2 linked regions of the Ovis aries genome follow. The protein of the gene in region 1 purifies or fractionates together with the protein of each later gene. This does not show direct contact. Links are inferred from orthologs where the notes say so. Each region holds a gene or a part of one and is shown on either strand. Other genes may lie near its edges. The genes, in order: RPRD1B and POLR2G.

The links.
Region 2: the proteins of RPRD1B (region 1) and POLR2G purify together in Homo sapiens (affinity purification with mass spectrometry; 3 studies listed by BioGRID and IntAct, counting the BioPlex papers as one, with this or other methods). This does not show direct contact. The link is inferred for Ovis aries from reciprocal best matches to the Homo sapiens genes RPRD1B and POLR2G.

The regions. Positions count from the first base shown.
Region 1 is NC_056066.1:66,923,035-66,926,846, reverse strand, and holds part of RPRD1B (regulation of nuclear pre-mRNA domain-containing protein 1B), read right to left. Parts: intron 3,270-3,812; coding exon 3,143-3,269; intron 1-3,142. UniProt on the Homo sapiens protein: Interacts with phosphorylated C-terminal heptapeptide repeat domain (CTD) of the largest RNA polymerase II subunit POLR2A, and participates in dephosphorylation of the CTD by RPAP2. Transcriptional regulator which enhances expression of CCND1.
Region 2 is NC_056074.1:37,615,737-37,619,648, forward strand, and holds the start of POLR2G (DNA-directed RNA polymerase II subunit RPB7), read left to right. Parts: upstream 1-1,360; 5' UTR 1,361-1,439; coding exon 1,440-1,451; intron 1,452-1,582; coding exon 1,583-1,692; intron 1,693-2,884; coding exon 2,885-3,044; intron 3,045-3,565; coding exon 3,566-3,616; intron 3,617-3,722; coding exon 3,723-3,788; intron 3,789-3,888; coding exon 3,889-3,912. UniProt on the Homo sapiens protein: Core component of RNA polymerase II (Pol II), a DNA-dependent RNA polymerase which synthesizes mRNA precursors and many functional non-coding RNAs using the four ribonucleoside triphosphates as substrates.

The sequences.
Region 1 (3,812 bases):
GACAAGAGGCAGCAGGGAGAGCAGACAGGAAGCTACTGGGATAATTTTAGTGAAGATGGTGGAGATTCCCACTAGGTGGCAGCAGCGGAGGTGGTAACAGGTGTCAGGTTCAAGCCGTAGTTCAGATCAACAGGAATGATGAGGGTCATCTACTGAGATAGGGAAGACCATGAGACAAATTTGGAGGGAAGAGGAGGAGTCTGGTTTGGGACAGGTTAAGTCTGAAATGTCCTTCAGGATATGCGACTCAGTAACACTCAGAGCAGGAGGCTGGATGTATGGGTCTCAAGTTCAAGGAAGAGGTCAACCCTAGAGATGTAAACTAGGGGATCATTACCACAAAAATTGTTATTTAAAGTCATCAAACAGGATGAAAGGAACTGTCAGTGAAATTAACTAGGGAAGAGAGCTAATTACTCAAAATTAAGAGAAGAAGGGAAGAAATCAACAAAGGAGCCTGAAAAGACACGAGATTAGAGAGGAAGGCCAGAACATACGCCGTCCCAGCTTCCCCCTGCCGCCAGTAACACAGCATCAGAAACCTGGTGGCTTAGAACAACACAAACGTACTACCTTGACATTTATCATCATGGCCCTTTCCTCTCTCTTCAAAATGCATCCCTCCAACTTCTGCTTCCCCAGTCACATCTCTTACTCCTGCTCTCCTTGCTCTTCTAAGGACCCGGCCCACTTGACTAACCCAGGAGAATAACCTCCCCGCCGCAAGATTCTTTACTCAACCACATCCACAAAGTCCCTTTTTCTATGTAAGACAATATATTTGCAGGCTCTAAGGATCAGAACATGGACATTTGGGGAAGACCATTATTCTGCCTACCACACCAAGTGAGAAAGTATTTTTAGGAAGAAGAAATGATCAACTGGGCCAAATTAAGAATGGGCAAAAATATATAAGGCCTTGATAAGACTAGTGAGGGGGGCACTCTCCATCCCCCTTCTGATGTCTACGTCAGAAACTTTGTCTCTTTTTATACTCTGCACCACACACAATGGGCAGAAAACATTCACCACTGAATTTAGCAACATGGAAGTCATCAGCCAACACTGATAAGAGCAGTCAGTGAAGTGAAACCAAAAGGGGGAGTGGGGAGAATAGAGACAGATGAGTATATGCCATCTATTTAGAATGTTCAGCTACACAACAGAGAAAGGAGACAATAGCCAGAGGAATGTACCCGGCCAAGAAAAAAAAATTTTCCACATGGGAAAAAAATATGTATTTTTATGCTATGGAGAATGACCCAGTGGGGCGGGGGCGGGGGAGGGACTGGAGATGCAGGAGAAAAGGGGAAAATTGTTGGAACATGCCCTTGGGTAGGTAAGAAGAAACAGGTTTACTAGGCTAATGGGCTGCTTTAGAAAACAGCATGCTCATCCACAGAAATAGGAAGAAAAGTTAGCCAATGTTTATCATTTGTTTTGTCCAGCCACATACAATTGTGAGTGGCGGCTGCCAGGAGCTGGGGAGTGGATGGGGACAGTGAATTGTTACTTTAATGATAGACAGTTTCAGTTCTGCAAGATGGAATGAGTTCCAGAAATTGGCTGTACAACGTGAATGTACTCAGCTCTTCTGAATGGCACACTTCAGAATGGTTAAGATGGCAAGTTTTGTTAGGTGTATTTCACCATAATTAAAAATCAAAATAAATAAATACTTTTTAAAAGCCATGTAAGTCCTTTCCAGTAGTCACGTATGGATGTGAGAGTTGGACTGTGAAGAATGCTGAGCGCCAAAGAACTGATGCTTTTGAACTGTGGTGTTAGAAAAGACTCTTGAGTCCCTTGAACTGAAAGGAGATCCAACCAGTCCATTCTAAAGATCAGTCCTGGGTGTTCTTTGGAAGGAATGACGCTAAAGCTGAAACTCCAGTACTTTGGCCACCTCATGTGAATAGTTGACTCATTGGAAAAGACTCTGATGCTGGGAGGGATTGGAGGCAGGAGAAGGGGATGACAGAGGATGAGATGGCTGGATGGCATCACTGACTCGATGGATGTGAGTTTGAGTGAACTCTGGGAGTTGGTGATGGACAGGGAGGCCTGGAATGCTGCAATTCATGGGATCGCAAAGAGTTGGACACGACTGAGCGACTGAACTGAACTGAAACTGAAGTCCTTTAAGTCAGTGAAAACAGACAAATGCAATTACACATGCTGCTAATTTTATGTTAACTTGTTTTCAGTTTTGCAGACTGTGATTCAAAAAGTTGGGTTTTTCCAGGAGACTATAGGGTGAAGGGGAAAAAGAGCAAAAGGCACTGAGGGTGTGTGTGAAGGGTGATTATAAGGATCCGAAGCCGAGTAACAGAACACGAGGCCAGGAGGGGGCTAAAGGTTGTGAAAAGGGGGAAAGATCAACAGTCTGTACGCTCAACAGGTTGTTCGATCCAGTGGGTTTGATATCTGGGGTGGGGGGAGCAGAGAGCGAGCCAGGAGGCCAGGCTGTGTTCTCCAGCTATCCCACTCCTGCCTGACGGGCTTCCCGGCCCCTCTGTCTGAGTAGCACTGCCTTCCCTCACGTCTCCTCACAGCTTGCTTCCTAACTGGAGGCGGGGGCGGGGGCGGGGCGGGGTGTGGAGTTCACGCGCACTCCTTCCTCTTGACTGACCACGCATAGAGCGGGAAGAATGTCAACCACCCCTCCCTGTTTAATTGGGGGTGATCATCACAAGGCCAAGGTGATATGATTAACCATATAAACAGGGGGTTCCCGGCACTGAAGAACCTCAAGGGGGCGTGGCAGGGTACAGTGTAAAAATCATGACACTGAGCCATACATCTCTTTTTTGTTAAAGAGGGTCTTGAGTTTAATGCTTCCCCCTCCTTTGCCCTCCTGCACACACAGTTTGTACCCTGGTTTCAAAAGACCTTACTTAAACTGAGTACCACAGGCTGAGGCACGTTGCATTTCTGCAATAACTCCTCGAGTATTCAAGCTCAGACTATGCCAGCAGCTCCTCTGTTCAGTCTGTGAGTTATGTTTGCAAATCTCAAGACAATAGAGCACCCAGCCCCAGGTGGAAGGTCTCTATCTGCAGACGTTGGCACGTCCTGGGGTCTGATGCACTGGAGATATGTTTCCCCTCCCTCATCCTTCACCCGACCTCTAACTTCTCACCTGTTATTTTTTCCAAAAGAGAAACGTCTTGCACTTCCTGGGGTAAAGAAGCAATTTTCTGTCGGACAGTAGCATCCCCTGATGCAGCATTTTCTAGGTCCTGCAAAGCTTTGATCAGCTCCTCAGTCTGTACAAGGAAAACAAAGATAACACCATCCATGAAGATATGTGGGGATGTGGGGTTTAGAGAAACTTAGCTGGAGTTCAACAAGGTGAAGGCGAATTCTATAAATGATCATCCCTGACATTTAAAAAAGAACCACTGTCCTTACCCCAGAGTGTATACTGAATCAGTGATTCGGATTCTAAGAGAATGCACACAGTATTTCTAAGTATGAGGCAGAACACAAATGAAATTCTACATAACTGTGAAAAAGAATTTTTTTTAAAGAGTATGTTTTTGGAAACTTAAGAAAATGCAGTCTGGTTTACACTGCTTAGTTTCAAAGGATGCGTGATATCTAGTATAGAACTAAATATCTAGTATATTTAGTATTTACTCTAAACCTCCAGTTTAGACTAAAGGAACATGTATGAAATGCTCTAGCAACCTGTGTGTTGGCTGTTTAAATGAAAGGACACTACCTACTTCAATTCTTTCCTGGACTTGCTCTACAAAATGAATGTCACAAAGATGACGTTTTTGATCTCCGCAGCCACTACCAAAATT
Region 2 (3,912 bases), on another chromosome or scaffold:
ATATCACAGTTACTTTTGTCTTGTTTCAAATTTTTTATTATGAACAATTTCAAACGCAGAAAAGTAGAAGAAAGTGTAAGAAACCACCATTATCCATCATCTGTCTTCAACGATTATTAATATATTGCTAAACTTGTTTCATCTACGTCTTTGCCTTCTTTAGTATAATTCATTTAATCATAAGTTAAGACAACTAAATTTTTCATAACTGCTGTGTTTAACAACTGGCTTGCAAAGTGCCTGAAATATTAACAGTTGGCTTTTGTAAGGGTCTCCAGCACACCACACCATTGCTCTTGCGGGGAGGCTGGTTTCAAAAGAGGGAAGGAGGGAGTTGAGGCTGTTGAGGCCTGCCCTTTGATCTGCTGTCTGCTTCCTCATGTGGTCTCTGGTGGAGGGGATCCCCATGGAGTCTGAGCAGCTGACCAACAACCTCAATCGTTCTAGGAAATGGGCAGCATCAATGGAAACCGGTGTGTGACAGCTCTAAGGAAATCAGGCTTTCTTGCTTACAATATACTAAAACTTGCTCAGGCAACAGGCGAGTTTGTTCAAGACCCCAGGGACTGTGGAGGCTTTAGAACCAGCCGCCCTTGCTGAGCCTTTGTCATAGGGGCGGGTCTCATGGTGTTTCCGAGACTCAGCAGCCCACAGACTACATGCTCATTCTCGTTGTGCTGAGTTTAATAAAGGGACTATCTGCAAAAGGGGGGGGTAGAGCTGAAGGAACAGGTAAAGTTTGCTCACCAGTTCTACAGGCCCTTGTGTGTAAGGGGGCGGGGGAGGGTGGTTAGAGGAGAGCAGTGACTTGAGGTTCTTTTCACACCGGGAGGGGGCGCTGCCTTCTGGGCTCTGACTAGGCCGGTTTCAACTCCAAACTACAAGAGCCCGGTAATAAATGCCTGAATATGCAAGAGCCTTGGAGTCAGGCATGTTGAATTTGAATCTCGACCCTGGGTGACCTCACCCTTCTGAGCCTGGTATCTTATTTGTAAATGAAAGTAATAACAAAGCCTGCCGGGTAGGGTTGCTGTTTAGATTAATTGAGATAAGGATAGCTTCTTACTATGCTTACTATGTGAAAGCAGTCTTCAACTCTTTGCAGAATGAATAGACTCTGCTAAAGCGCTTTATTTATGCGATCTCTCATTAATTAATTCCTTTTAAAGGTATTTATTAAGCATCTAATCTATGCGAGATACTGTTATGCTTAAGGGAGTTGGGCGCTTTGACGGCTGGACGGAGGGGAGGAGCCTCATGGGTTTCCCCACCCACGACAGCGAAGCCCAATGGGGACCCGTGGAGGCTGTGAGTCCCGCCCACTTTTCGGGGCAGGCCCGGAAACGGGGTTGGAGAGGTTGCTGTATTTCCGGTCGGTGTGGCGGCTCCGCTGCTCGTGAAGCGGTAGACCCGGCTCCTGTTCAGCTTCCTTCGGGAAGATGTTTTACCACGTGAGCAGGGCACGGGGTGGCGGCGAGGGCAGGGTCAAGAGGAGGAGCAAGCGGAAGGCCGGGACTAGGGGCGGCTTCTTGCCTCATACTCCTCCCGCTCCTTGCCCGACTCCATTCCAGTTTCCCCCCAGATTTCCCTGGAGCACGAGATTCTGCTGCACCCGCGATACTTCGGCCCTAACTTGCTCAACACGGTGAAACAAAAGCTCTTCACCGAGGTGGAGGGGACCTGCACCGGCAAGTGAGTGTCGCACCCTCCCTGCCGCCTAAACACTGCGCACACGGCTTTCTATGCTTGCACCCGCTTCCCAGCGCCTACACACCGTGAAAGCTTCTGCTACCTACCCTGGCAAGCCCTCTCACCCTTCCAGGCAGTTAGCTGCTTCCTGCTTTGGGTTCCTACGGTGCCCTCTGTGAAGCTCCATAACAGAACTGCCTTTCCTCAGCCAACATTTGTCATTAACTCTGCAAACATTTCTGAAGCTCCGGCTGTGTGCCAGGACTGGGCCCTGGGAACAATGCAGTGAAAAAGACAAAATGAGGTCAGCCCTTTCTTTATCCCTCATACCCAGGGACCTGGCATGGTACATCTTGGGCCTCACTAAAAGCTTGTTGAATGAATGAATGGGCAGGATAAGGCAGATTGAGAGTTAACCGGAGGAAGGAAGAGGAGTGAGACTTGACCATCTCTGGGCTCTGCACAGAGGCGCTCCGCACATGGTGAAGTAAATGAGGGGGGAGGAGCAGGGCCGCAGAGTACTCAGGTATCCAGCATCAGAGTAAGCTGAGGTGTTCTTTGAACATACAGGTTCCTGAGCCTCATCTCATTTCTACAGCATCAAGACTGGGGACCAGCCCGGGAACAGGCATTTTAATGTTTCTCTCAGGTGATTCTGAGACATCGCCAAGGTTGAGATTAAGGACTGCAGCCCTTTTGGACACTGATTGTGAAATTATGAGAGCAGCGTTTGGCATTATAGCTGCTGCTGATTGTCCTGTCTCCTCTCTTGATCATTAAGCTCTCCTGGGGCCAGGGGGCCGACTACTCCCCCCTCTGTGCTCCCCCTTTACCTCTAGGGTCCGTGACTCTTGCAGCAGATGCTTTTTTGTATTTTTTTCCTGGCTGCGTTGGGTCTTCGTTGTTGCACGAGCTTTCTGTAGTCGCAGCAGAAATGAGAAGTGTGTGGGTTTCTCATTGTGGTAGCTTCTCTTGTTGAGGCACACGGGCTCTAGGGCTTGGGCTTAGTAGTTGCAGCGCACTGGCTTAGCTGTTCTGTGGCGTGTGGAATCTTCGGGGACCAGGGATTGAACTTGCGTCCCCTGAATTGGCAGGGGACTTCTTAACCACTGGGCCACCAGGGAAGCCCTGCTGTGGCAGATGGTTTCAGAGGCTCTTCCACACACAGTGTCTCAGTTTCTCTGCCTCCTTGCAGGTATGGCTTTGTAATTGCCGTCACCACCATCGACAATATCGGTGCTGGTGTGATCCAGCCAGGCCGAGGCTTTGTCCTTTATCCAGTTAAGTACAAGGCCATTGTTTTCCGGCCCTTTAAAGGGGAGGTCGTGGATGCGGTGGTAACTCAGGTCAACAAGGTAAGAGCATCCACAGGGGAGGTAGTGGGAAGGTCCCTCTCTTAGAAGATCTGGGATGGGTCCCACTTTGGTCAAATTCTGTGTCTTTGGTCAGATCACTTCTCTGTGCTTCAGGTTTCCTCACCTGTCAAATAGTATGGTACTGCCTCACTCAGGGGCATGTAAGTCAATAGTGAGTCAGAACAGTAGTAGCCTCCACTGTGGACCAGGTAGTGTGCAAAGCCTCTGACTCTGAAATGAGTGCTTTTATCTCCACGCTGAAGCTTGGAGAAGTTGAGTCTTCTGGCCACGGTCACGTGTCCAACAAGTGTTCAAAACCCAGAAGGACAAGTTCTAGGTCTCAGCTGTTTACTGCTACACTTCCTTAGCTTAGAATGAAAGCTTGGAAAAACAAACACACACATGACAAATTTCAGAGTGGTTTCAGAATATGAAGAACATTGTTAGGAACCAGATAAAGATGGGAGGCTTAGGAGACTGGGGGACAAAAGAAAAAGCAAGGTCTCTCTTTTCCCTTCTAGGTTGGACTCTTCACAGAAATCGGGCCCATGTCCTGCTTCATCTCTCGACACGTAAGTCTAGGCACGCTGGGTGGGTCTAAGAAGGAGACCTGTACTCATGAGAATCTACTGAAGCATCCTTTTCAAGTGCTCTTACCCAGTTTGACCTTCCTTTCAGTCCATCCCATCAGAGATGGAATTTGATCCTAACTCCAACCCACCGTGTTACAAAACGATGGATGAGGTGAGTGGGCAGAAGTTGGTGAGAGGGCCAGGGGAATGAGCCACTCTGAGGGAGGGTATTGGCCTGGGGGTTTCTGAGTGTACTGTTCCCTCCTCCCCAGGACATTGTGATTCAGCAGGACGAT